4 linked regions of the Notamacropus eugenii genome follow. Each later gene encodes a partner of the first gene's protein in a complex. Links are inferred from orthologs where the notes say so. Each region holds a gene or a part of one and is shown on either strand. Other genes may lie near its edges. The genes, in order: PAK1, ARHGEF6, DCP1A and MAP3K5.

Evidence for each region.
Region 2: PAK1 (region 1) and ARHGEF6 share a complex: the UniProt entries of both Homo sapiens proteins name them as parts of the cytoplasmic complex. The link is inferred for Notamacropus eugenii from reciprocal best matches to the Homo sapiens genes PAK1 and ARHGEF6.
Region 3: PAK1 (region 1) and DCP1A share a complex: the UniProt entries of both Homo sapiens proteins name them as parts of the cytoplasmic complex. The link is inferred for Notamacropus eugenii from reciprocal best matches to the Homo sapiens genes PAK1 and DCP1A.
Region 4: PAK1 (region 1) and MAP3K5 share a complex: the UniProt entries of both Homo sapiens proteins name them as parts of the cytoplasmic complex. The link is inferred for Notamacropus eugenii from reciprocal best matches to the Homo sapiens genes PAK1 and MAP3K5.

Annotation. Positions count from the first base shown.
Region 1 is NC_092876.1:125,967,402-125,974,695, forward strand, and holds the start of PAK1 (serine/threonine-protein kinase PAK 1), read left to right. Parts: upstream 1-4,284; 5' UTR 4,285-4,398; exon of another isoform or gene 4,399-4,837; intron 4,838-7,294. UniProt on the Homo sapiens protein: Protein kinase involved in intracellular signaling pathways downstream of integrins and receptor-type kinases that plays an important role in cytoskeleton dynamics, in cell adhesion, migration, proliferation, apoptosis, mitosis, and in vesicle-mediated transport processes.
Region 2 is NC_092879.1:58,084,612-58,091,594, forward strand, and holds the start of ARHGEF6 (rho guanine nucleotide exchange factor 6), read right to left. Parts: upstream 3,007-6,983; 5' UTR 2,704-3,006; coding exon 2,539-2,703; intron 572-2,538; coding exon 488-571; intron 1-487. UniProt on the Homo sapiens protein: Acts as a RAC1 guanine nucleotide exchange factor (GEF).
Region 3 is NC_092874.1:478,412,352-478,419,539, reverse strand, and holds the start of DCP1A (mRNA-decapping enzyme 1A), read right to left. Parts: upstream 3,019-7,188; 5' UTR 2,964-3,018; coding exon 2,829-2,963; intron 1-2,828. UniProt on the Homo sapiens protein: Necessary for the degradation of mRNAs, both in normal mRNA turnover and in nonsense-mediated mRNA decay. Removes the 7-methyl guanine cap structure from mRNA molecules, yielding a 5'-phosphorylated mRNA fragment and 7m-GDP.
Region 4 is NC_092873.1:223,165,774-223,172,919, forward strand, and holds the start of MAP3K5 (mitogen-activated protein kinase kinase kinase 5), read right to left. Parts: upstream 3,019-7,146; 5' UTR 2,694-3,018; coding exon 2,207-2,693; intron 1-2,206. UniProt on the Homo sapiens protein: Serine/threonine kinase which acts as an essential component of the MAP kinase signal transduction pathway. Plays an important role in the cascades of cellular responses evoked by changes in the environment.

The sequences.
Region 1 (7,294 bases):
GGTGTTCAAGAGGCCTGACTTGGGAATCTGGAAGCTTGGTTTTTGGTACAATACAACACACATTAAGTGAGTACCTGTTATATGCAAGGAAGGCAGCTGGAGTCTAGTCCTTAGTGAATGGGAAACTGGCTTTTGGAGTCAGGAAGATCTGATCAGTGATCTAGGCAATTCTGTAAGCCTTCAGAGCTGTGTGAATGGTCAAGGGAGTATCTGCTTCTGGGGGGCTCTATATAGCAATAAAATTACAGGTCCAGTTCTTATCTGAGCTACATGCAAGGCCCTGTGCTAGGTATTGGGGAAATAAAGATGTGTGGGACATAGGTCTTGTTTGCAATCTGATATAGCTATGATAAGAATTAGGAATTCAAAAAGGACCCACATGGACAAAAATATTTATAGCAGCTCTTTTTGTGGTGGCAAAGAATCAGAAATTCAGGGGATGCCCATCAATTGGAGAAAGGCTGAACAAGATGTGGTATATGAATGTAATGGAGTACTATTGTGCTATAAGAAATGATGAGTAGGTGGACTTCAGAAAATCCTGGGAAGACTTATGTGAACTGATGCTGAGTGAAGTGAGCAGAACCAGGAGGACATTGTACAAAGTAACGGTTACACTGTGTGACGACCAGCTTTGACAGACTTAACCCTTCTTAGCAATGTAAGGATCTAAGACAACTCCAAAAGACACAGGAGAGAAAATGTTACCCACATCCAGAGAAAGAACTAGGGAGTCTGAATGCAGATTGAAGCATAATATTTGCTCTCTTTTTTTTGTTTCTTCTTTCTTGTGGCTCCTCCCATTGGTTCTAATTCTTCTTTACAACATGATTAATGTGAAAATATGAAATGTATAAGTAGAGCCTATATCATATGGCATGCCATCTTGTGGTGGGAGGAAGGGAAAGAAATTTAGAACTCAAAATCTTATGGAAGTGAATATTGAAAACTAAAAATAAATAAATAAACAAATAAGCAAATAAATATTTTTTAAAAAGAATTTTAAAAAATTAGAAATTCACTAATGCTGAGGGTTTATAGGGCAGCTGGGTGGTGCATGGGGCCTGGAAGGGGTCAGGACCACTTGATTCAAATCCTGGCCTCAGACACACTTACTAGCTGTGTGACCCTGGGCAAGTCACTTAACCCTTATTTACCTCACTTTCCTCATCTGTAAAATAGCTGGAGAAGGAAATGATAAAGCACTCCAGCATCTTTTCCAGGAAAACCCCAAACAGAGTCATGAAGAGTGGGACACAACTGAAATGACTGAACAAGTGCCAAGGGGGGTTTTCAATCCCTTCGTGAGCCTGTGGATGATGCTACAGGTGAATGAGATTTTTAGAAATATCATCAAGTACTGGGGCTCCAAACACTAATGCCTGGAGAAGCTATTCTAGCTCTTTCAGTTCTTACTTAGCCTGGATGCTCCCCACTGGCAATTTCTCATTTGGTCTCCATACCCAGAACACATGAGAAGCTGGAGGTGTCCCTGACAGGTGACCACCTCGGTAAGTAACTTGGAGCATTCTTGCCTCCCTGAGCCTCAGTGTCCCCATCTCTAATATGGGACAACAACCTTGATCTTGAAGTCAAAAGATCTGAGTTCAAGTGGAGTCCTGACACTGACAATTGCTAGTTATGCGATCTTGAGTCAATCAGTTTCCCTGCTGAACCTCAATTCCTCAGGAATTGGACTAGGTCAATGATTCCCAATCTTTTTAACTTTGAGAAATTTAATGGAAATCCCTCCAACATGATAATAATTGTAACTTTGATTCATCGAATCAGAAAATATACAATACACAAAGAGCTACAATGAATTCAATGACATGTTTCAGTGAATTTGTATTTTATTAATCACAACAGTATCTACATATGTTTGAGAGATGGCAATAGATACAAGTGTGAGTCATTGTTTGTTCAATCTAAAGAAGGTCTGCTTGTTTATTAATTATCCTTATCAAACTTGCAGAGGAAACAAAGCTAGTGGGCAATATAATAGTTAATAAAAATCAGGTGGTGCAGTGGGTAGAGCACTGGGCCTCAAGACAGGAAGTTCTGAGTTCAAATTCAGCTACAAATACTAGACTAGGGCAAGTCTCTTAATCTCTACCAGCCTCAGTTTTCTCATCTGTGAAAGGGGGAATGATAATAATGGTGTTAATCAGAATTAGGTAGATGTTCTTTTGCCCTTTTCAGAGATTTGAAATTTGGTTGAATTGAAGAATGCTTCAGTCCTAGGTCTGGTTCCACCTTCAGTGGACCCCTTTGCAATTACCCTGTGGTTTCCAAGGTTCTGTAGCCAGGACTTGGGGAAACAAGTGGCCCTTTCAGCTCTCAGTTCTGTAATTTGTAGAACAGGGGAATACTTACACTATCTTCCTCACAAGATAATTGAGGAAAACAGTTTATAAATCTGAAATCCTACAGAAACATTCCTACGTTGATGATGATGATGATGGTATATGTGTGAGTATGGGTAGAAAACTTCCAGCATAGATATTCTCTCCATGCAGATGAGCAATTCGGGGTGCCCGATACTTCCACTCTCTCAGGGGAAGTAATACTAACATAATACATATTTATTTGTTTTCTGATTCTTCATGACCCAGTTCAGGTCTTGGCAAAGATACTGGAGTAGTGTTGCCTTCTCCAGCTATTTTACAGATGAGGAACTGAGGCAAAAAAAGGTTAAGTGACTTGCTTAGGGTTACACGGCTAATAAGTTTCTGAGGGGAGATTTGAAGTCAAGTCTGTAGGCCCAGGGGCTCTTTCCACTGTACCGCCTAGCTGCCCAATAATAGCATAATGAAATATGTATTTCTCTTCTTGATCTAAAGGAAGGCTAGCAGAATCTTGGGTGATCTCCCTGAGAAATCATAGAAGGCCACAGACAAGAGTTAGACAGGACCAGAAGACATGGATGCCTTGCCACTTGTACCTTTGGAGGGAGTACCCCACCACAGATTCGTGGTGTGCTGGGACATCTTTAATAACTGGCTCTGTCCAAAAGATGCACAGGACTCACTTTTAAGCTTAATTTGCATTATTCGCATTTTCTCCATCACTTTTAAAAGTTTCAACAACTGAAAAATAAATCAACACCTGATTTCTAGCATTTGCCATTTTTCACTCTGAAAATTTAACAATCAGCTTTACCTCCAGCTTGTGCCAGCATGGAGGTCTTTCTCCATATCAGCTCTGCATTGATATCCCGCCCGCACTGTACCCTGATGGCCTTAGGCCCTCTTGCTCCACCTTCCTTTACCATATAAAGAGAGCCAAACACACAATGGCTGAGACCCATGTGAAATCTTGTCATACTTAGCTCGTTAAATACAAAATCTGCCATTAGTTAATTAACTCAATAAACTTTTATTAAGCACCTACTATGCGCCAGACACTGTGCTAAGTGCTGGGGATATAAAGAGGCAAAAGACAGTTTCTGCCCCCAAGGAATTTACAGTCTAATGAGGGGGACAACATGCAAACAAATATATAGGAAGCAAGCGACACACAGAATAAACAGGAAATATTTACGAGAAGGAAAGCACTGCTATTAGGAGGGGTTAGGGAAAGATACAACAAACACTATTATTACTGTATTTTGCCACTAATAAGCAATTCCCATTTCTACAGGCTTTAAGGTTTACAAAAATCTGTCGAGGTGGTGAGTGGACGCATTATCAGTCCCATTTTGTAGGTGAGGAAACTGCAGCACAGAGAGAAATGACTTGCCCAAGGTCACAGAGTCAGACAGAGTGGGCTTGTTTGCTCTCTCCTGCCTCCAAGGCCGGTCCTCTTTCCATTACATACACTTTAGGGGCTCTTCCACTGTCCGAAGAAGCACAGATCTGAGGGTGGGTGGCATCCACAGAGAGGAGCCCACAGGTCCCCAGGGTCCACCAGAGGAAGAGGTCAGGTTTGCAGAAGAGAGGCAGGGAGAGGGAGGGATGCCTGGGCAGTGACGTCACGTGCCAGCCGGGAGATTCCCCTGTCTCTTGCGTCACCCTCACATTACGTCACCCCAAGCAAGCCCTCTCCCTTCCCCCTACTCCCTGTGGGCTTCGCTCACGTGTGTCTGTCCAGTTTCCCTCCTCCCCTCGGCCCCTCCTCCTCCTTGACTTAGTCCACTTACTTCAGGGGAGAAATTGGGGGAAGGGAGGCTCAGTCCTGACGCCCGCAGCCTCCAATGGGAGAGGCTGGGAGTTCTGGGGACGGGAGGCGGCGGCCGGTGGAGATGGAAGGAGGGGTGTGAGAGGGAGGGGAGGGGAGGGGAGAGGAGGAGGAGGAGGAGGAGGAGGAGGAGAAGGACTGGGCTCTGGAGCAGCTGACAATAGAGACGGCTAGAGAGAGGAGGAGGGGGAGGACGGGCAGCGAAAGAGGCGGCAGAAGGTAGGGGCTGCATTGTGGACTCACCCCCTCTCCCTCCCTCCCGCCTGGGACCCCGTGGGGAGAAGGCAGCCGAGAAAGGCGGGCGGGGGAGAAGAAGGGGCCGTCCGGGCAGCTGGGGAGAGAGAGCGAGAAGCGGCGGAGGGGCGGGCAAGAGGGAGAGAGAGAAGGTGGGAGGGAGAGAGAGGAGGAGAGGAGAGAGGGAGTGTAGGGGAAGCCAGGGGGAAGAAGGGAGGCAGAGAGACCGAGAGCGAGGGAGCGATCGAGGCAGAGAGGGAGGGATCCAGGGAGCGAGGGAGCGATCGAGGCAGAGAGGGAGCGATCCAGGCAGAGAGGGAGCGATCCAGGGAGCGAGGGAGCGGTCACGCAGAGAGGAGGAAAGGACAGAAGCCGGGCTTGCTGCGGGAGCGGCCCCAGCAGCTGGAGGAGCGAGTCTGAGAAGGTGAGTCCCGCGGCAGCGATGGGCGTGCTCGGCTCGGGGGTTCAGCTTTGTGCCGGCCGCCACTTGAAGCCCAGGGTGGATTCGGGTGGGTGCGGGGAGCCGACGTCCTGGGCACGGGGTGTGTGTGGGGACTGTCCTGCCCCTTTCCTTGGAGGAGGACCCCCACTCTGCTCCGGGCTGCTCTCCCTTTCCCCGCCGTCCTCACCCGCAGCTCGGCAGCTCGGTGACTGGCGGGGGTGGGGGAGTCTTCTCCATCTCCGGACAAGTTCCCCCCAGGCTGAGGATGGGACCGGAGCTGGGGGAGGGGCGCCAGGTGAGTTGGCTGCGGACTAGACGGTGGGGATGGGGTGGTGGAGTGAAGCGGAGTTCGGACTGAAGGTAGAAAGTTTGGAGCATGGGCGGGTCGGGGGCAGGCTCGGCGGGGCAGCCACCCTTAACCCAGGTTCCCGGATCGGCTGCCCTGGGCTGGCCCAACAAAGACCGTCTGGCCCCTTGGGGTCCTTGCCCGGCGGCTAGCTCCGGCTGGGACGGAGTGTGGAGCCTGCGGGGGAGGGGCAGCAAAGCCCCGTGGGGGGCTGGGTCTGCCCTGGGGGTTGGGGAGCATCTTTTTGCTGGCTGCAGGGAGGGGGTGGGGGCGGGGAGTCGGGCGCAGGTACAGGTTTGGCGACTTCCTCCAACTTTGCTTTTCTTGAGTGACAGACTCTGCGATTCTGCGAGGTTTAATCCAATACGTTTGGACTCCCCTGAGTATTATCCATCAGTCAGTCAGCGAACAGTTACTAAATCCTTACTTTGTGCCAGGTGCTGTGCTAAGCGCTGAGGACAGAAAAAGAAGCAAAAGACAGCTGCTGCCCTCAGGGAACTCACAGTTTGATGGGGGAGACAAGAAGCAAATAAATGTGAACAAACAAGCGATAAGTAGGAAATCATCAGAAGAGAGGGGGGACTGGAATTAAGAGGGGCTGGCCAAGGTTTCCTGCAGAGGATGGGATTTTAGTTTGGACTGAAAAGAAGCCAGGAGAGCCCAGGGAAGCATGCTTTTTGCCGAAGTAACCCGGCTCAGGTAGGCCCAGGAGTCATCTCCTGGGGTAAGAGCGGAAAGGGGCCCCAGAACTAGCCTCCTCCCTTCACCGAGGTGGAAACTGTGGCCCATGGAGGTTCTAAGAAAGAAAGCACTGCTACCAAGTGGCTTAACTGGAATTAGAATCCAGACCCTCAGAGGCCAAACTCCACATCTTTTTGAGGGCTCCTCTTTGTCTTACAAAACCTAATCTAGTTTTTGCTTCAGTAAATATTTATTAAGTACTATATACGAAGTCCTGTATCAAGCCTTAGGATTCCCAGGGAGGGAAAACGTTCACTTTTCTGTCATCCCTTAAAATTGACTAAGAGCTTTCCTCACAAAAACCCTGTGATATGGAAACTAAGTTGTATTATCTCCATTTTACAGTTGAAGAAACTGAGGTGCAAACAGGTAAAAGTTATTTGTCTAGGGACTGGAATCCAGGTCTTCTGACCAGTGCCCTTTTCACTGTGCCTTGCAGATCCTAGAAGTGACAGGGTCCTTACCCTCAAGGAGAGGCAGCTTGGAGTCGGGGGATGTGGTGCTGAAGTTGGAGTCAGGAAGACCTGGATTCAGATCTACCTTCCTGTCTGTGTGATTATGAAGAAGTCATCTCACCTCTTTGAGCCTCATTTTTCTCATCTGTAAAATGGGACAATTTTAACCTGTCAAACCTACTTTACAGGGGATCAAGTGAAATAATGTAGGTGAAGGGCTTCAATTAAAATGTTATACAAATGGCAGTTATAAAATCTCATCTGCTAGGGGAGATACACCATGCATAGAATAATTCAAGCTATAAAGAAAGGACAAATCAGTCCACAAGTGAGCACCTACTATGTGCCAGGCACTGTGAATACAAAGACAAAAGCCATCCCTCCCCCCAAAGCAAAGGCCTTGCCTTCAAGGAGCTTAAATTTCTGCCAGGAGAAACAACCTGTATGTTTAAGTATACACACGTATATGTGTATGTATGTATGTATGTGTATATGTATACATATGTGTGTATATACATGTGTGTATATATGTGTATGTATATATACATACACATATATATGCATACACATAAACTATAAAGTTAGGAGAGGAAGAAGGCACTAAGAGCCTTTGGCAAGTATTTGCCAGGTGTTTAGTGATTCCAGGATGGGTGAGTAGGCAGAACACTCCAGGAATGGGGGAGAGCAGGTGCAAAGGCAGGAGATGGGATGTCATGAATAGGCCGTAACTGGCAAGCACCAGGAAAGGTGGGTTGGAGTCAGATTGTGAAGGACTCTAAATGCTAAACAGAGCATTTTTTTCTGGAAGCAATAGAGAGCACCTGGAAGTTTAAGTAGGGAAGTGCCTGGGGTCAGATCTGTGCTTTAAGAATACCATTTTGGCATCTGTGCAGAAGA
Region 2 (6,983 bases), on another chromosome or scaffold:
GAAATAAAAGTACAGTAAAACAAAGATAATATTACATTTTAAAACTAGGTCAGTGTGAAGGCCACAGGAATCCTTATGTGCAGATTAATGATCCTCAGTTTCTGTCTGAGTTGGACATCATGGTCTAAACCATTAATGTTCCTCGAGACTGAGAAAAGCAGCCATAGAGCACATCAGTTCCATCTGAGTTTACTCTTAAAACTTTCATGCTGGACTGTGAAAGACAATCATCTTGCTTCTGCTGTTGTCTTTTCCAGGAATTTTTGAGAAAGACAGCCTCCCACCAAAGTGACCATCAATTTCTCCTGTGGGGTGAATAAAAAAGGGCCTAATCTTCAACCTTGCAATGGCTATTGGGAAAAGCAAACAAGTGAGATTTCCTCTACTCCAATACCAAATCCCCTCTTTATTGGCATGACAAAGCCCAAAACAAAACCAAAAGCACTAATGATGCTGATACTGAGGTTGCCAGGGCCAACTGACTTACCTCTACCTGAAGACCTGCACATCCTTTGAGGAAGTCCTTAATGTTACTGATGCAGTCAGCTTCCGTTTGGGGCTCCTGATGGTACTAAAGAAATGATCAAGAGAACCTCTGTGAGTTGGGTTTCCCAAGCAGGCCCAGCATGCTTCATGTTTTATGAGAACTAGGTAGGTTTTTGGTTTTGGTTTGCTTTTGGGGTTTTTTTTTTTTTGAAGGCAAAGGGGAAGGCTGCTTTCAAACCAGGAAGAGAAGTAACCATTGAAGGAAATGATGTAAAAATCTAAACGGCCTTTTGTTTCAAATATCAGTTTCAGAACAGAGCCCCAGGCTAAAGGCCCACTGAAGGGTCTCCCAACTCTGAGTCCAAAATTATTTGGACTATATACATTTCTTCATTCTCTGTCCCCATCCCAAGATATTAGGATGTGTCTGGATTTTTTAAACTGTGTTACTGTTTTCAAATATATGAAAAGCACATTTTCCACCTTGCTGCTTTCTACCATTTCATAGGAACCTTCATAGTATCAGAGATTTAGGGTTCATGGGACCTCAGGGGCATCTAGTTCAGCCCCTCTCATTTGACAGAGGAGGAAATGAGGGGAGGGGAAAGACTGGTCCAAGATCACAGGTAGGATCCTAGCTCTACCGCTGGAAGGGACCTTAAAGTCCTTCAGTAGTAGAACTCCTTCATTTGATAGAGGAGGAAATTGAGGCCCATTAAGGTAAAAGTTCTTGCCCAAGGCAAAAACACAGTGGATCACAGATCTAAAAAGGAAAGGACCTCAGAAGTCATCCAAGCCAACCCCCTCCTTTTACAGTGGGTAAACTGAGGCCCAGGGAAATTAAATGACTTTCCCAGTGTCTCACAGCTAATAAGCAACCAAGCTGAGATTTGAAACCAGGACCTCTGGTCCCAAATAGAAATCTTTCCATTGCACCCCACTTGGACATTTGACCCAACAAGTACCAGGTCCAAATGCATCCTGCACGGTATTTTAATATATCATTTTTCTAGCCTAGAAAGTTGTTACAATCTGGCTGTAGAAACTCAAGTCCAAGTCATACTTGGCTCCCACCTCTATTCCCCAGTTCTCAGTTTATTTGGGCACACTCCCTAAATACTGGAGTTCTCCTTTAGAAAACTGCCTTTACCTTTGGAGTAAAGATCTAGCCTCAGGGGAAGCATCAAAAATTTAACTGTGCTAATCTAAAAAGGAGGATGGGGTGGGGGGGAATGCCTACATTTTAATCTTCCTGGAATTATGTGTTCCATTTCAAATACCCATTTAGTTTCAGTTGTTATCGGAAGTCACGCATCCTAGCTTGGTTCTCCTTGTTGCTAAAAGTAAACTTTTAAAGAAATACATTCATTTCAGCTATGCCATCAGCCCTAGATTTAAACATCTTACAATTTCATAGATTCTGATTAAATTGTGTCCTTAGTTCATGGGGAGGTCAGTTGACATCTCACTCACTCTAACAAGAAATACTTTTCTGGTGGATGTTGCCCTTGTCTCAATGCTAGAATGGCCGTACTGAGGTAGTTACCAGGGGTCCATGAACCATATCCCATCCCTCTCAGACATGAATGATGAGGAATCATTGCTAGCTAGTGGAAAGACACAAAGTATTTGACTCACAGGTTATGTGGGCTAGGCAGTCTGAAGCCAAGAAATATTGGTTAAACATCTACTTTGATGTGCCAAGCACTGTGCTATGTGCTACGGAGAGGCAGACAAAAATAAGAAACAGTCCTTACCCACAAGAAGCTTGTATTCCACTGGGGGGATCAACACATAAACAGATAGGCAAATACACCACCTAATGAGGAAGAAGACCAACTAAAGGGATAAAGAAAGGCTTCCTAGAGGAGAAGGCAGGTGAGCTGAGCCTTGAAGGAAGAGCTAGAGATTCTAAGAGGCTGAAGTGAGCAGGGAGGGCACTTCAGGTCTGGGGGAAAGCCGGGGCCCAGACCTAGAAGCAGGAGGCAGTGGGCCCTGGGTGAGGAAGCAGCCAAGTAGGCCAAGGAAGCAGACCATGGCCATTTCAGTTACCTTTTCCACAGCTCCAGGAAGAAGCCGATTTAGCAGTTTGCATAGCACTACCCCATTTTTCAGAGACACCTTCAAGAATTCCTCCGGATCACAGATGGTCTTCTTGGGGGAATTTAAAACTCCCAGAGAGATGAGCCATGTCACGATGCGTTCCTCGGGATTCATTGCCGAGGACTGTGCACCCGAAGCAGCTGCAAGGTCTTACCCACATCCGCGATTGCATCGGGTGCTGTCTTCCTTTTTTCCGGGCTCTCTCTTCGGGCACTTGCTGTGCAAACAGTGGAGATAACTCTTCTCTGGCCACAGTGGGACCTCCACTCCAAAGGTGGGATCTTCTAACCACAGAGACCACACTCAGTTATGCAAAGCTAGAAAGAGCAAGGGGAAGAACCAGGGACAAGCATGATTGTATTTTTCAATACACATCACCCCACCCCCCAACTGAAAAACAAGCTCCTACTGACAGACACTTGAAGGAGCCAGGGCTGTAAGGGAAGGAAGTGAAGAGGATGCTGGGGAGGGAGGGGACAGAAGGAAGTAGGGACACTTGGAAAAAAGAGGTGAGCCAGCCTTGCAGGGAACCTTGCAAATGAGAAAGTGAGTGGGCCAGCCTGGGGACAAGCTGTCAATAGTCTAGCCTCAGTGAACAAAATCTGGCTTCTGTCAGGAAGTGGGTGCCAACTGGCTTGGATGTCCAACAGATCAGATCCAGGCTTTCTCGGGGAATCAGTGGAAATGGCAGTGGGGCTCCAAGAAGGGAGAAGCAGGAAATGTATCCCAGGAATGGCTGTCCAGCCACAAGTTCTCACCCAAAGATGCTGGGTGCCACGACTTCTTGGGATACTCTTTAAGAGGTCTGGGGAGGAGGACCCAGAAGTCTAAAGGCTGGCACAGAAGCGGGGAGGATGGCATTTTCTTTCATGACAAAGAGCGAAATAGAAGGAGAACATCTGCCACCCTGTTTACTTACCTCCTTTCGTATTTCTTTCCGGACCTGATGCCCACTGCACAATCCAGCTGCAAAACCCATGCCAAAGGCTTGGACACAGTAACATGGGCCAGAACATGTTGCTTTAAAAATAAGTGTGTCTGGGGGTGGCGGGGAAAGAAGGGATCGGGGGATTGAAGAAAATAATGACAAAAACAGGAAGAATTGGAAAACAAAATAGCATTTGCCAGGAGTGCACACCACACACTGGGAAATTGGGGATCTTCCAACTCTACCTCACGGGCTGGTTGGGAGAAAAGAACTTTGCAAACCTAAAAACACTAGTCAAATGAAAGCTGTTGCTCTTATTTAGATTAGAGGAGTCAGAGCTGAACGGGGCCTTCAGAAGCTCTCGGTTCAAATCTTGCCTCAGACGTTTACCAGCTATGTGGCCTCGGGGAAGTCACTTGACGCTTCTGTGCATCACTGTCCTCTCTTCTGAAGAAGATCTGATGGGAGTGGGGAGGGCTTGGACTCAGTGATCTCTAAAGTTCCTTCTAGCTCAAAGCCCATGATCCTCGGTGGTATTTAATAAATGTCTATTGGACTGCATTGGATTGGATGAGATTGGCAACGTGGTAGACTCTCTCCAAACTGTCACTCCCTCATAGGTGGGAAACGAATACCATAGCATTGTTCTTTGCAAAAGCTAGAAGTGACTGCTCAGTAATTGTTGTTGTCATCAGAAGAAGATGGGAAACTAAATATTCTCTCTGCTCATGCCATCAGCAGCACTCAGGTTGGGTCCATGATACCTAGACGACCAGAGCCTCCTACATAGTCTCTAATCCATGGCCCACTCAGCTGCCACAGGGACCTTCCTAAAACTCGGATCTGACTATTTCTGACCATGACCCACACCGGTGGCTCCCTATTACTTCCAGGAGCAAATACAAGTTCTTTATTTGGCAGTTAAACCCTTCACACTCTGGCCCCTTCCTACCTGTGAGTCTTTTTGTACTCTGCTCCCTGGCACACACTGGATCCAGCTACACTGGATTAGTGTTAGACCTTCTGTTTCCTCTAACAGAACCCTCCATCTCAAGCCTCCCTCCCTTTGCACTGGCTGGCCCCCATGTCTGGAATGGCCTAGAATGCTCTCATTTGGCCTCCCCCCTCTTAATTTCCCTGGCTTCCTTCAAGACTCTGCTTACAGCCCCCCTTCTCTCTGTGTGATTGGCCTTTCCCAGTCCTCAATGACCCAAGAGCTTTCCACTCCAAATTACCTTCCTTCAACTCTGTCTTTATCTTATATGGAGTTAGCTAGTTAATGTCCTCTCCCCTAGTGGAATGGAAGCTCCTTGAGGACAGAGATTGGTTTGTCCTTCGTTTATAACCCAGAGCTTGGTCCAATTCCTGGCGTACATAATAGGCCTTGCTGTAATATGCTCGTTGTCTACCACCCTTAGGAAGAGATCCCCAGAAAATTAGCACAACAAACCTACACTGAGGAGACCCCCTATGGCACAATCCAACCCCTTCATTTTTGAGGGGAGGAGACTGAGGCCCAGTGAAGTGAAGGGACTTACCCAAGGTCACACAGATTGGAAATAAGACTGCTAAGATTCAAACCGCAAGCTGTTGACTCCAAAGTCAATACATCTCCCTTTATACTATATCATAGCAGTATTTTCCTTTAAAATTACTGCTCTGAAGAATAAATTTTAATTATCTATATGGTTTTGAAATCCTTCATAAGATCAATGCTTTGTATATAGGTTTTTAAAGAATACTTGATTTTATGTATTTAACAGCAATGTATGTGTAGAACCTATATAAGATTGTACACCATCTCAGGGAGGGAATGGGGAGGGAAGGGAGAAGGAGGGGGAGAGAGGGGAAAAAAGTCTAAGATATATGGAAGTGACTGTAGAATACTGAAAACAAATAAAATTATTTAATAATAATTTTAAAAAGAATACTTGATTTTAACATTCATTTTTTTAAATGTTGAATTCCACCTTATCTTCTTCCTTCCAGCTCCTGTCCCACATATTAAAAGCAAGCAATGATATCAGTTACACATGTGATGTCATGTAAAATCTATATGCATAACTTTGTCCTTGACAAATGATCATCCCCTGTAAAATAACTATTTGCCTCTCTGGGCCAATCTCGCGCTTACAAAGAGTTTTTGCATATGGTATCTCGGCAGATCTTTACAACACTATCAGGACTAGTATTATTTTAAAATTCTAGAAACTCTGCAACCAACCCTAAAATCATTCAGATGGTTCAACTAAAGCTCAGGCAAGCACAGCTCAGTCCCACAACAAAAAACTGGCAGAACGAAGAGGAGGAAGCAGGTATCCTCGCTCACCACTTTGAAATATTCTTGGCAGACATATCATGTCACATTATTCATCAATTTTAAGGAAGCAGTGAACCAAGGCCCATGTAACTGAGAGAATCAACACTAGCATTGACACAAGTCACAATAGTGCTTTACACTATTTATACAACAGTGGTTTATAGAACATCCTCAATTTAAAAAAAAGAAAAGCCCTGGGAGGTTGATGTTTCTTGTTCCTCAGTCATGTCCAATTCTTTATGACCCCTTTTGAGATTTTCTTGGCAGAGATGTTAGAGGGCATTGCCATTTCCTTCTGCAGCTCATTTTGCAGATGAGGAAATTGAGGCAAACAGCATGAAGTAACTTGCCCAGGGTCACCCAGCTAGAAAGTGTCTGAGGCTGGATTTGAACTCAGGAAGAAGAGACTTCTGACTCCAGGCCTGGCACTCTATCCACTGTAGTGCCACCTAGTTGACCCATTACTATTATCATTTATAGTTTGTAGATGGGAGAATATAGTCTCATAAAGGTTGAGTGACTTATCTATGGTCACCATCTGGTAAATGACTGAGTCAGAATGCAGACTCAAATGTTCTGACTCCAAACTCATGGCTTTTCTCGTGTAGCATACTGGTACTTGAAAGTAAACTGGGAGAGTTTTAAAAATTATTTTATTTGTTTTCAGTGTTCTATAATCACTTCCATGTATCTTAGATTTTTTTCCCCTCCCTCCTCCTCCTTCCCCCCTCCCTCCCTCTCCAAGACAGCATGTCATGTTATATAGGTTCTACACATACATTCCTATTAAATACATTTCACCTTAGTCATGTTGAATAGAAGAATTAAAATGAATGGGAGAAACCATGAAAACAAAACATAATACAAAAGAAAATGCTTCATTCTGTGAGCCATTTCCATAGTTCTTTCTCTGGATGTGGAAGACATTTTGCCTCAAAAGTCCATTGGGAATTTTTTAGGTCCTTGCATTGCTGTGAAGTACTAAGTCTACCAGACAAATTCCTCACACACTGTGGTTGTTGCTGTGTACAAAGTTCTCCTGGTTCTACTCCTTTCACATCAGCATCAGAACAGTCTTCCTGTTCATCATTTCTTAGAGCACAATAGTATTCCATTACATTCATATACCACAACTTGTTCAGTCAT
Region 3 (7,188 bases), on another chromosome or scaffold:
TAAAAAGTCCTTATGCATATTTTGTATGAAGAGAAGCCGTTGAATTTTGAGGTGACCTCCTTGATTTCTTACAGGTATACAACACATGTGAATGGAATTTTAATGATTTGTTTAGAGACTTAGCCTTTTTTCATTTTCCTTCTTTAAGCCAGAAGTCTTTAAAACTTTTAAGCTGAGACAAGAAAAACCCCATGAGATCAACTCTTTCAGAACAGCAGGAAGCATCTCCTTCAGTTTTCCCCAGTAGGAGCATGCTCCTTCTATCCCAGTGCTCCCCTTCCCCCATCACCCATGGCCTCCCTGAGACTCTCCATACTCTCCTACACAACCAGCTCGTCCTTTTGGGGTCTCTAACACCACTTGGCCTTCATCACCCTTCACTGGTACCAAGCTGCCCCTCTACCCTTTGGGAAGTGTTCTCATCATTCGATGTCTCCCAACATACAGTCAGGAAAACTCATCTTTCTGAGCTCAAATCTGGCTGTGTGACTTAACCTTGTTTGCCTCAGTTCCTCAACTGTAAAATAAGCTGGAAAGGAAATGACTGCCAAGAAAACCCCAAATGGGGTCAGAGAGAGTCAGACATGACTGAAACTAATGAACGAAACCAAGCCAGGGAGGACCAGTTCCCAAAAGCACCTGGAATCGTAAATACCCCAGCCAGGCTCTGCTGAAATAAAAGTGAGGATGGAACTAGCCAGCCTCAGAGAACCACAAGAACCTTCACTTGGTAACCAAGCTTTGACTCTTACTTATTCACATCAAGTTTAGAGATACTATAACTATGAAAGGAAGCAACATGGCTACATACTGCAATCCTGGCCACCACCAATGGGTCCCCAGTCCTTATAGCACAGAAGAGGAATACTGTATACCTTGAAGAAATAAAGGAGATACAACCAGGTGGAAGGAGGGTTTAAAAGCCATTTAGTAAAACAAAGTGTCCAGCTAAGATTCCTGCAACAGTGTTTTATCTTGGGATACATTATACAGGCTTCCAACACTTTGTTAGATCATTAGGAGGTCTGTAACATTACTGATACAATCAGCTGAGCAAAAAGTCACATAAGTTTGAAGGGCTGGTTTGAACCTTTAAAAACCACCCAGGAAGAACAGAAAACACATTTTAAAAATATTTTTATTATCTTTTAATTTTTTCACTTAAACTGATTTTCTCTTAAATCCTGGTAAAATAAAATGCCTAGGGATCAAACTGGGCAGATGGTTCCCCATTGGGTTCTCTGGAGCCTGGGCTCAGAACAAAGGAGTGGCCCTGGCCTTTAGGGAGAACATCAGGGGGAAACACTGGCTTGTTCATCTAAAATCCCCGCAGTGTTCAGAAATTATTCTGGGATGTGGCTCCATACTCCTTCATGCCCTACTCCCTTGCCCCCATGTCTTCTGGGCCACTTTGGGCCAAAAGGACCTTGGAAACTATGAGTCTTCCCAGACTGGATGCCCTTTGATGAGTCAGCATCCTTGTTTGTGAAGTCTAGGGCAGGCCCCGAGGACTTGAGCTCCGGATCAATCAGTCAACATTCATTAAAGCCTACTATGTGCCAGGCACTGTGTTACAGAGTGGGGATATAAAAAGAGGCAACAGTCCTGGCCTCAAGGAGCTTCCAACCTAATCAGCCTGAGTTTTATCGTTTACTAGGCGGGGAACCTCATGCTGACACTGAGAGGAAGCATTTTCCTTTCTTATAAAATGAGGAGAGAGCATTGGAGTGGGAGTCAAACCAGGGTTCGAATCCAGCCTCAGACCCTTCCTCCAAAAGCATGGGTGAGTCAGTCTGAGAAGCCTACAAAGACTTGGCCAACCTAAGTGTCAGAAGGGCAGGAAATCACAGATTCTTCACCAAATGACAAACAGGTGGGACCCTGGGGCTACATCCAGATCTGGAAGAGGCCTTAAAGGCCTTCCTTTATAGGGAAACTGAGGCCCGGGGGGTCAGATACCTGCCCAGGGAGGCACCCTAATAAGTGGGATGACATTCCTGGAGGGATGAAGTAGCCGCATGCCAACCTCACGACTCTGGGGTCCCCAAAGCTGGGGCAGATGTGAGCAGGGGGGTCACTAGCGGCTGTGCCGCAGGACAGGAGTATGTCCGCACGCTGCCAGCCAACAACTCAATCATTCAACAAACTCAACAAACCAAAGCCATTCAAAGAGCGTCCCTTAGGCAGCTCAGGAAGGAGACCCCCAAAGGGTCCTGGGCTTCGGACTTCAGACTTCGGCCGTGCCCCGTCGCCCATAACCGGCCCCCCAAACTCCCCCATACAGTGGGGGAGGGGCAGCCCCTCAAACTGCTCTATCTAGGCGTCCATCCCAACCCAGGGCAGCACTTCCTTACAGGAGATGAATGTAGAGGGATCTCCTCATTTTAGAGATGGGGAAACTGAGGCACAGGGAGAGGAAGGCGCTAGACCTGTGCTCCCATGCGGTGACTTGTCCTGGGTCACCGAAGTCGGCTTTGGTTAAGGCAGGATCTGAACCCAGGTCCTGTGGCCCTAGCCCCCCCATGGCGGGCCTGTATACAGTTGTTTGCTTCTCTTGATAGCTCCAGCGCCTGGCATACAGTGGGCGCTTCATACGCGCTTGTTCTTGGTGGCGCCTACTGTGTGCGCCGGGGGCTGTCTGCGCTGTCTTCTGACAGGGGAGGGCACGGAGGCCCGGGCAGGGGGCAGGACCTTCGCCCTAGGCCTGGGGCGGGCAGGGCCTGGCTCAGCGAGTCGCGGCCCAGCCCGGCGGCCGGCCCGGGCCTCAGTCTCCCCGGCCGCGGAATGGGCGCAGCGGCCGCGGCGGCGGGCCCGAGGGCGACACTCACCCACTGGTTGGCCTCGGGGCTGAAGGTGTAGAGCGCGACCTGGCCCGTGAGGTCGGCGATGCTGGTGATGTAGGGGTCGTGGCGCCGCAGCGCCGCCAGGCTCATCTCGGCCCCGGCTCGACTCCCCGCCTCCATCTTGGCCGCCCCCCCCAGTCAGCGGCCCGGCACCGGAAACTAGCGGGCGGGGCCTCCCATTCAAACCTCCGGGGCCGCGGCGCTGACGTCACGGATCACGCAGGCGCGTTGGCCGTCTCTGACGCCGCTGACGCCGACGCAGAGTGCGGGCAGCTCCCGACCCCTCCCAGGAGGAGGCCCAGCCTCTTCCTGTCCCGCCCTCCGGCGCCGGATCCTGCGTGACCAGCGCGCGCGGCGAGCACGAGCCGGTCGCCCGAGCATACGTCACCGGGGGCGCCCCTGGCGCATGTCCGTTGGGGCCCAAGTCTACCTGGGTGGGCGCCGCCTTGGGCGAGCGAGCTCCTCGGGGGCGGGGCTGGCTCCTTGCTGGGAACCTTGGGATGGAACCTGAGCTTCATGATAATGACGTAATCATGAGGAATGAGACCGTGGCCGCTGCGGCGCGGGAGGCTGAGCACGACGGCCGCGAGGGGGCGCCATGGCACGGGGAGCGCTGGCCCGCAGTCAGCAGGGCCTGAGTTCAAATCCATCCTCTGACGCTTCCTAGCCGGGTGGCCCCGGGCAAGGCCTTGCACCCTTTCTGCCTCAGTTTCCCCATCTGTCAAATGAGCTGGAGAAGAAAGCGACCAGCCCTGCGGGGAAACCCCCAGCGGGCGGAAGTCGTGCCCGGGGGGCGCCGCCCATAGGACGTGGTCATTGTCGTTCATTCGCAGCCCCTCAGCCCCTCCCCCAGCCGGGGTCCTCTGTGGGTCCCCCGTGGGTCCCCCGTGGGGCCCTCGGTGTCCTCCTCTCCCCCGGGAGGGGGCTGACCCCCGTGTTACTGCCCTGGGCCGGGCGGGGCAACGAGGAGGGTTCTACAGACGGGCAGTCCCGGCCATGCGTGACGTCATCCGTGCGGATAGTGGGTGGGGTCCCAGACCCCCCCACCTCCCCCACCCCTCACCCTCCTTGGCCCCAGGTCCGGGGTTCCAGTGTGGTTACTCCCCCTTTTTACAGAGGAGGAAACTGAGGCCGAACGTGCCTGACTCGCAGGCTGGCCTTCCTGGCCCGGCCCCCGCCAGGGCCGGTGGTAGCCCGGCTGGGGACAGGCCTGGACGAAACCGGAGCGGCTGCCCCTCATCCCCTCGGCTCGCTCCTCCGCAGGTGGGGGAGACAGCCCAGCGGGGGGCACTCCCAGTCCGACCCCTCGCCTTACAGAGGGAGAAGCAGAGGCCTCGGGAAACGCGTGACCTGGCCACGATGACGTGGCTGGCAAATCCTGGGGCCAGGATTCCACGTGGCCTTTGGGAGGCAGGGGGCAGGAGCATCTTGTGTTAGGAACAGCAGAGAGGCTGGGGGTGTGTGTGTGTCTGTGTCTGTGTGTCTGTGTGGTGAGGTGAAGCGGGGCAGGGGGCTAGGGATTGAATGCCTGAGGTTTTTCTGTTTGGTCCTGTAGGTAATAGGGAGCCACTGGGGTTTATTGAGTAGGGGGAAGAAAAAGAGGCCAAAAAGCAGGGACTGAGGACACTTGTCAACAGCTAGATCCTACTCTGGTCTTTGGAGCAAAGTGTTATATCCTGCTCTTTATTATTTGGAAGCTAAATGGATCTTACAGAGAAAAGGATTTCCTTGATATGCCTAGAAGCAGGACCAGTACAACTGCAGCCGGCCATGACTTGTCAGTTGAACTCACCAAGGTGACCCCCTGCCTTATAAGCGTTCCATAGAGTCGGAGAACTTCAAATGAGAAACATAATGATATTGAAGAACTGGGTGGTGATGGTCTCATCAGGCTGCTCTTTGATAAAGCCTTAGCTGGACTGGGTGAGTCCTTCAGGGCCCTTGTCTTACTGGCTAGGGAGGGAGGGGATAATCTTTTATGAAACACTTCCTGTGTGCCAGCCCAATATAGAAAGAATCTCAGCTGTTCAGGCCAAGTTTTCTGACCTCCTCCAATGCTCTTCCTGTTATATGACCCCTGAGAAAGTCTTACATACTTCTTGCCTCTCCAAACCAAGCCTTAAACCCTCTGGGCCCTAAGATATCCCTGGGAAAAGGTTCAAGGCCCTTATTCTCTGATCTGTGTTTGGGGCCACCTGCTTCTTTACACCAGAGTTGTAATCCAGATAAGGACTTGGGTGTTACAATGACAGTGTTGACCCTCTCTCTTCATGGAAATTCGTTCGGATCCTTAGCAGTGAACAAGCCTTTATTACATGCTTCACCTGTGGCTCCAAGAAGCTGTAGCATGTGCAGTGGCCACAGCACAGTAAAACCACCTTGGCAGGGTGAACCAGGTTGAGAGTGACGGAGGGGGCCTCAAACCCACTGATGAGTTAGGGCAGTGTCCACCCCAAGCATGTGAAGACTTCCCCTGCCAGAATGGGCAGATGAAAACAATTTGTTCCAGTGGCCATGAAGGTGGCTGAAGCAGGCACTGTGGAATGCTTAGAGGTTGTTCAGAAATGAAGATGCCAAGGTCACCCACTGCATCCTAGGCCATGCCAGTCATCCTGACTTTTGTCTTGTCATTGGACTTTGATGACTCAGGAAGAGAGTGAGGCTGACAACTTTGGGCAGCTCTGCCTCACTTAAATCCAATTCACCCATGAATCAAGACGCTACTCTGTAATGTCATTGGTCCTCTTGGAAAATGAAGGATGAACAAAAAGTTATGTTCTCAGCAGGCATTGTGCTAAGCACTAGGGATACAAAGAAAGGCCACAGCATGGTTTCTACCCTCAAAGAGCTCACAGTCTAATGATGGAAAGAAAATGCAAGTTACTGTGTACAAATCATAGTTATACAAAGAATAATTAGAAGGTAATCTTAGAAAGAAACTGCTAGCATTGTGTGTGGAGGGAGGAGGACTTGGAAACAATAATAGCTAATGGGGGGTGGGAGGGGAGGAAGGGAAAGAGAGAAAGAGAGAGAGAGAGCATGCAAGCTAAATAGTTATATCATTTTATCCTCACAATAACCCTGGAAAGCAGGTGCTATTATTATGATCCCTATTTTACAGATGAGGAAACTGAGATAAATATCTTGCCCAGGGTCACACAGCCAGTAAGGCTCTGAGGTCAGATTTGAACCCAGACTTGTTCTTCCTAACTGCAGGGCCAGCTCTCTACCCAAAGCACCATTAAGTTGCCTCCTACCAAAGGTGGCATTTGCAATTTTTCTGATGGATGAGTTGGGGCAGGTTAAAGGCTGGGACTGAGGCATTCCACCTCAACAAGGATCCAAGCAGGAACCACTTTCGCCTGTTCGGGGCTTGCTGTGTGTCAGGCACAGGTATTCAGAGCTAGAGATATCCACCTGACTGGCTTAGCTGCAGACAAACTGATCTTCTCTGGGGGGGTTGATCCCCCTAGGGTCATCCTGTTTTCAGGGTTTTGATCTACTTGCTTCCTCCTGAAAAACTAGAGTCTTAGGGGTTATTTTGTGATGCCATTAGGGAAAGTTCTCCAAGAAATACTCAACATGAATATTCAACAGAAGAATTAAACAATTATCACCTGCCAACTCGAAATGACTCTTCTTCCTACCCTACTCTTTCTTGGTAAAACTAAGTCAATCACTTTACATGCACCTGTGGGATACACGGGCCTCTTTCTCTTTGACTAAATTTAGTTTTTCTCCCACACAGTCTTCTGAAATAATTAAAGTGGTCTCTTTATTTTCTGCCTGGTTAAGCAACATCAGCAGATCTGGAAGAGTGAAGAACACAACTTATTAATAGCATTATTTACATTTTCAGTAGGAAATGGCTTCAAAGGAGAATGGGTGGAGATCTGCCCCTAGACCTGTCTAACAGCATTGAAAATTGTGAACATGAAGGTCCTTGTCCACACTGGGAATACTTGAGTAGCAAATACTGATCTTGATTCATGCTGAAACCTAAAGGTTCCCCCAAAACAAAATATGACCTTAGGAATCCAGGGACATTTGAAACTTAGAGTGTGACAAGTCAGAGGGAATTCATTGAACCAAGGAGAGGTTGAGTTGACTGGGGTGATAGAAATCATATTTTATCAGAAGCAGCAATCAAACCCAGGTCTTCCTGACTCCAAGTCCAACATTTTGTCTACTACAATGGAGAAGCTACCTCTTTTCCAATCCCATGGTGCAATGCTGCAGTGCCACCTCTCCCACTTATATAGAATTTTAATGTCCTTTATGTGCATTATCTTATCCTGATGCATTGTTAGGAAACCATATTTTCTTCCTTAATTATCTATGTGAC
Region 4 (7,146 bases), on another chromosome or scaffold:
AAAAATCAGACCCTATATTCAAAGAATATATTTGTATAAGCAAGTAAAAGGAAACCCATCAATTTTTTCTCCAATTTTCCAAAACATGAAGTTCCCAATACATTTGTTCAAATACAGCCATTCTTTAAGAGTAATACAATGCATATTTGCACTTTCATAAACTACTTCAAAGTTATAATTAGCATTATATTAATAATCACTGCAGTTTAATTCATAGCCATTATATCGCCTTTGCTGGACCTGTTTAACTCTGCAGATTCAACTTTCAAATTCAAGACAGATGATTTTTTTTTTTAAAGCATCAGAGGGGATTATTTATTGTTTTCAATTCTACCATTTACCACCTGTGCAACACTGGGTAAAACACTTTAGCCTCTCTGAGCCTCAGTTTCCTCATCTGTCAAATGAGGAGACAACTAAGCAAAGGTCCCCTTCTAGCTTTAACTTAGCCATTTATAATACATTCCTAAAATCCCAAGTTGAAACTATGAGAACAATTTCCCAGAGAAACACTGTTAGATTCCACATGGGAATAATAGGTCTACAACGCTAATGGGTGCAGTTTCTTTGTGTTTGGCAACTATAACCATCAATCAGTATTTGGTAGAATATAAGCAGTAAAAATAATCTTATTAAGACCGTGTTTCCAATTAACTTAGGAGTTAAGCTTCCAGAGAGTATAAAGTAGGAACTTTTTAAAAATCCACCTAATACTGCAATAAGACTAAATATAGCAAAGAAAGTCTTTCCTTGATTTGCACTATTTTTGGTTACTTCTTTACTATTTTCCAAATTTTGTGCTCCAAATAAAAGTTACTTTTTTTTTAAGGTTTACATAATTCAGATAGCTAGCAATAATGCATGACATGTATGTTCAGTTATGCAGGCCAGCACTCTAGCAAATACCAGAACCAGAAAGACCTACTTTTATTTAGTCTGTCTTTCCTAACATGAAGTTCTTTTCCTTATTTTTGAACTACTGAGACATCAGCCATGGCTGAATTCCAACACTGACATAACCACCCTTCAGGTGTTTTGAAGAGCCTGAATGGAAAGACAGGCCTGAAAACAAGTCCAGAATCTAAAGCCTTTTATGTAAGCACATACACTCGATGCTTACTGCACTGAAATTGCTTCAATCAGATTTTAACCCAGTTACATTAATGCAAACATATGGTTTGACATGCTCAACAGTGTACTGATGTTCAAAGGGCCACAGGAGGTTAATTTCATACGTACATTCCTGAAAATATTCTGAATGTTTCAGCTTATCTGTCAAGAGAGGGCAAACTGCTTCAGTTGCTAAACAAATTCCCCACCTCTCAAACTACTGTAGCAGGTGTTAGAACAGTACAATAAAATTATTTTTGGAAGGGATTATGGGAGCAACTGCTTTAATTACCTATAGTTCAACTTGATCTCATGTGGGCTCTCAAGAAAGTCATTAACGTTTTAAACAATGTGTAAATTGATAAATGTCCCAGGATACAGCACACACAGTTTGGCAAAACACTGGGTTCTTTCCCTCCAACAATGTAACAAAGACAATAGAGAACTTGAGTGTTTGTTACAATGTCATTACTGCCCTAGAGAACAAACTTAGAAAATGCAAGTAAGTGGGGTGTCTGAATTATAGTCATCAAAACTTAAGGTAAAATAAGACTGGGAGGAAAAATCAGTCTTAAGACAAAGTGCATGTAGCCAGGTTGGTACTGTCTCTGAAGCCTGTTCTCTATCTCATACTCTAAACCTAAATGAGACACCTAAAAATCTAGTGAAGAAAAAGGGAGGTGAGAGGAGGGACCGTCAACTGAAAGTACCAAACACGCACCCTTAGAAATGGTGAGATCAACACCAAAGATGGGGACAGAGGTGAGTGGAAAAGACTAAATATGAATCCCAGGGAGAAGAAAGATTGGTATAGGGCTTAAGCTCAGCACAACTTCAGGATCCTAGAGTTCCTGGGAGGAGAGGAAAAGAGGACTCCCTCTTTCACATTCCCAGGGAAAGGAGAAACGTTCCTTCTCAAGTGCTGCCACACTCAATATGTTAACACCCTACTAGGCACTCTCTCGGTACAGGGATACAGACCAGAAGAGGGGAGCTGCTCAAGCAAAGAAAAAAATAAAGTGGGGGAAGGGAGAGGAGGAAAGAGCACCCATAGAAGGAGGAAGAAGAGCCGCAGGAAGGCTCCCATCTCGCCCACCTGCATTGTAGAAGCGATCCAACACCGCGGTTTCCCCGAAGTCCAGTTTGCCAAAATGCAGGGTCTCCAGTGCAGCGCCCACCGCCTCGCACGCCTCCCGCAGACACTGCAGGGCCTCGCTCTCCGCCACCACCAGCTGCCCCTGGCTCGCTTCGTTAATCACATATGCCACGGTGGTTCTACGGTTGCCGCCGCCAGCGCCAGTCGAGTTGCCCCGACTTCGGGGGGCGCTCGGGGGCCCACTCGCCACCGCAGCGATCGAGATCCCCCCTGGACAGGCGGCCGAGGTGCCGCTGCTCTCCACATTCCAGAAGCTGCCGGGTGGCGGTGGCGGTGGTGGGAGCTGACTCCCCTCTCCTGAAGCAGCAGCTGCAGGCGCTGCTGCTCCTCCTCTTCGGCCGCTGCCGCCCTCCTGGAAGGTGCAGAAGCCCGGGGGGCTGAACGGGGGCACGGGGAAAGTGATGCCCTCGCTATCCTCCGCGATCATCTCTTCCAGGGGCTCTCCGGCGGCCGCGGTGGGGTCCACCCCCCAGCCGCCCCGTCTCGCCAGCCACAGCTCGGGGCTGCTCCGCGCCCGCCGGGCTAGGCAGCTGCCATCTCGAGCTGAGCCCTCACCGCCGCCACCGCCGCCGCCTCCACCGCGGCGCCGCCTCTTCTCCGGCGCTCTGTCTCCCGGAGGGACGCCGCTACCCGGCGGCGCTTCTCCCCTCCTGGGCGCCTCCGTGGCGGTGTTTCTAGCTCGATGCAAGGCTCGGAATAGAAGGGGTAGGAATAAGCTGTTGGACGAGAAGGAAAAAAAGCGCTTCCTCCCTGTCTAGGGCTGGCCGGGCTCTTAGCAGACCTGTGCCACGGGGCTGCCAAGAGGCTCTAAGCTCCGGAGACTCCGTGCGCCACTGACACCATAACGCAACGCCAGCTGCTCTCGCGGCGTGCGCTCTCCTCTCCGCGGCGCGCTCTCTGGGGACCACGGGGGTTTCCTCTCCCTTCGGGAGAGTCACCTGGCTGGCACCTTACCGAAGGGGATTGCCGAGCGTTGTACACGCACACCAGAAGCCGCAGCCGAGAGGATCCGCCTCCCCAGTCAACTGCAGCTTCCTTCTCCTCCCCTTCCCTCTTTTCTCTTCCGATCGTGGCGGCCGCCTCGTCTAAGCGCCGGCCCGCGGGGCTGGAGGCGTGCGATTTCTTCCAGCCGCTTGTCCCCTCTGCTAACTGCCTTCTTCCCGCCCCTTTGCTGGAGCCCGGAGAGTCTGGGGCCAACCCCCGGGGGCGGGCGCTGCTGGGAAGCCCTAAACCGAGGTGAAAGCGACGGTGCTACCGGTCATCAACGCTCCCTAGGTCAGTCTACAGGACTGGTGCTCAGCTAGAGGTTGTCTGTTGCCTCTGGTTTTCACCATTCAGCTACCTACCTCAGAAGAGGCTTTTTACGCGAGCCCTCAGTTACTTCAAACTGCGGGGGGCTCGTACAAAAAGTCTCTCTTGCCATTGCTAAAGTCGTTTTTTGCTGCGGTTGGTGTCTGATGAGACGGTCCCCGCGGCCATGGCGCCCTCCTCTGGTTTCTGTTTAGCTCTGCTCTCCTGTTTAAGCTGTGACTGCCTGGCCTGAGAACTCGTGGCTTGCGCAACCATGGCCCTGATTTCAAAGGGAGCTGAGCTCCGAGGCGGCGGAAAGCCTTGTCTGGCCCCGAGGTTTGTGCGTAACACATCTGAGCTTGGACTCCGGGACTAGCTTGTGAAAGATCTGAGGTGGTCCTGGGGTCTTTCCTACTCATTTTTGAAATACCGATGCGAGGATGGGGGGGGGGGGGGGGAGGGAATAAACATTTATTAAGAGCCTACTATGTGTCCGACACTGTTACAAGTGCTTTACAAATGATCCTCACAACAGCCCTGCAAAATAAATGCTATTATTATCCCCATCTTACAGTTGAGGAAACTGAGGCATTTGGCCAGGTTTGAACAACTAGTAAGTCGTTAAATCTGGATTTGAACTCAGTTCTTTCTGACTTCAGGCTCAGAGCTCTAGCTGCCTCTAGGTGGATCCCTTCCCCTTCTCAGAATGTTTTTTAGATAAATAAAATAAAAAGCATACAAGGAAATCAATTACATTAAAATTATTAATGCGTGTGTGTGTGATTTAAGACTTTTGGTTAAAACCTCTTGGATTAGATGAATTCTAAAGTCCTTTCCAGCTCATACATTCAATTGTTGTGCTGCCTCTCCTCTAATTTTTACATAAAGGCTAGGTACCCCTTGGTCTGAAGATCCCCAGTTCCCCAAGGAATCCTAAGATATGGAATAACGTCTTCATTCAAGTTAAGACTTAACATGTGCCTGTTGACACTCTAGCTCTAAAGAGGGGAGGGAATACCTATTATGCTGTAAATTATCCAGGAGTTTGACCTAGTAGCACAGCTAATCCCCACATAGAACATATAGAATGTATCCATTGACCATGGGAAAGGCATTGGAGGGTCACTTAACCTTGTTCCTCACCCATGGTCCAGTTTGTCACAGAATCTGAAGTCAGAGGTTCTGGGTTCAAATACCATCTCTGCTTCTATCTTTGTGACCTTGATTAAGTTGCTTCTCTCTCAATTTCATTAGTAAAATTGGGGAAGTTTATACTAATTGATAAGTTCCTTTGCTAAATCTAGGCAGTGAAGGGTAGGGGTCTGTCTTTCTAAAGCAACAGCTCACAAGCCTCCACCTTTGTAATTTCTCCTATAACTATCGGTTTGTTCTGTTGTTTTTCAGTTGTATCTGACTCTTCAGTGACCCCATTTGGGGTTTTCTTAGTAAAGATACTGGGGTGGTTCACCATTTCCTTCTCCAGCTCATTTGAAAAATCAGGAAACTGAGGCACACAAAAGTGACTTGCCCAGGATCACATAGCTAGTAAGTATCTGAGGCCAGTCATTCTGACTCTAGGAACAGCTCTGTATCCATTGAGCCACCCATTTTAGACTTTTAGAAGGGAGTACTGGGCAGCTAAGTGTTTCAGTGTGCCAGGTCTGGAATAAAGAGAGAGAGAGAGATGACTCAGAGTTACTGGGGAAAGTCCTCATTTCCCCCATCACTTCTCCAGGAGTGCTCATGAAGTTTCCATCCCATTAGGCATGGAGTGATAACAGCTTTCTCCTGGACTCCTGGTAGTCTTTGCATAAGACAATCCAGTTAAGTGACTTGCCCAGGTTTGAGCAGCTAATAAGTGTCAGGTGTCTGAGGCAAGATTTGAACTTAGGTCCTCCTGACTCTAGGGCTAACGCTTTATTCACTGTACCACCTAACTGCTCTGCCTCTTTATAGTCTAGAAACATCATTTCTTCCCTACATCTAATTTGTGGCTTCTGATGTAGACTGTAGCTAGCTGTAGCAAGGACTCTGCGAGGATGCTCATGGGAAGTTCCAAATCCTCTGGATCCTTCTAAGCCCCCAAGATTCTCCTTCAACCAGAAAAGGTGGGAGGGAAGAGTCTGAGACTAAACCTAAAGAGCTTCCCAGGGTTGTGGTTAGCTGAACTTTAACCATTAAGCAGACAGATGTCCCAGTGCTTGAGTTCCAAATCTGGTTTATTCTATAGAAAACCCACAGGGCATAACCAAGTCTCTTCAATCAATCTAAATATACTTCCTTTTCATACATTCCATTTCATACAATGAATTTCAAGCACTTCTAAGTTGATCGAGGACTTTTCATACCTATTCTAAAGCCTTTCATTGATTGTTTGATCCACAAAAAATGACAAGGTCTTCCTTGTCCACACCTAGTTCAGACCTCTGATTTATTGGTTCAATAAAAGTTTTATTACATGACACAGGTATGGGAGGGGGCATAACACCTTGTCTGTAACTTAAAATGGAGTGGGATGACTGGTCTGGTTCCATGCTTATGTAGTTTACTGACTCTAAGTTGGGCCTGGGGTTCTAGAGGCCCCAAGGGGTCCCTCTACTCTTTGTTCAGTTGGGTACCAAGTGATAGAACAGCACTGGCCCTGGATGAGAGGGGGGTTTTGATCCCTTTTTTACTAAAGAGCTATGAACCTTCTACTATGAACCTTCAGTCATAATTCCTAAAATCTGATAGCCTCGTGCCACAATAAAGGAAGTATTCTAAACCGGCTTAAAGGTAAAATGAAAAAATTATGGACAAGTATAACCTAGTATAGTATTCTCTGAGCAAACTACTAGTCTATAATATTTTAGGGATGTAAAAATCTACATATCTTCCAGCCTCACTACACATAATGGGTAATGTACTACAATAAATATTGGTAAATAAGCATTCAAACAAGCAACTTAAAAACTGACTACAGTACAACTGTAGTTTAAAATAGAAGAAGGAAAAAAATCCAGAAGAGAGGGAGGAAGGAAAAAAGGGAGGAAGAAAAGGGGGGAAGGAATGAAAGAAAAGAAAAAAAGGGAGGGAGGAAGGAAAAAAGAGGATGGAAGGGGACAAAGATGGGAAAGAGGGAGGGATTGAGGAAGAAGAGGAGTGAGGAAGGAAGGAAAAAGGGTGGAAGGAAGGGAGAAAGGAAGGAAAGAAAAGAAAAAGAAAGGAGAAAGGAAAGACATAAGAAAGAAAAAAAGGAAGAAGAAAGGATTTATTAAATACTCACTATGTTAAAAGCACTGTGCTAAACAATTTACAAATGTTATCTCATGGTATTATGATCGTCCTTTTACACTTGAGAAAACTAAAGCAGACAGAAATTCAACTAGTAAATGAGGCTGGATTCAAGTGCAGGTCTTTCTGATTCCCTGGCCAGCACTAGATCCACAGTCCCCTCTAGCTACCTCTAGTAGTTGCCGCTAGAAATCAGGGAACCACTACTGAGAGTCCAAGGCAGGATAGGAACTCTGGCCTTTCTGATTCCAGGTCCAACATTTTATCTATGTCATGCTGCTTTTCTAGGTGTTCACTTGACTGTATCATCATTTCAA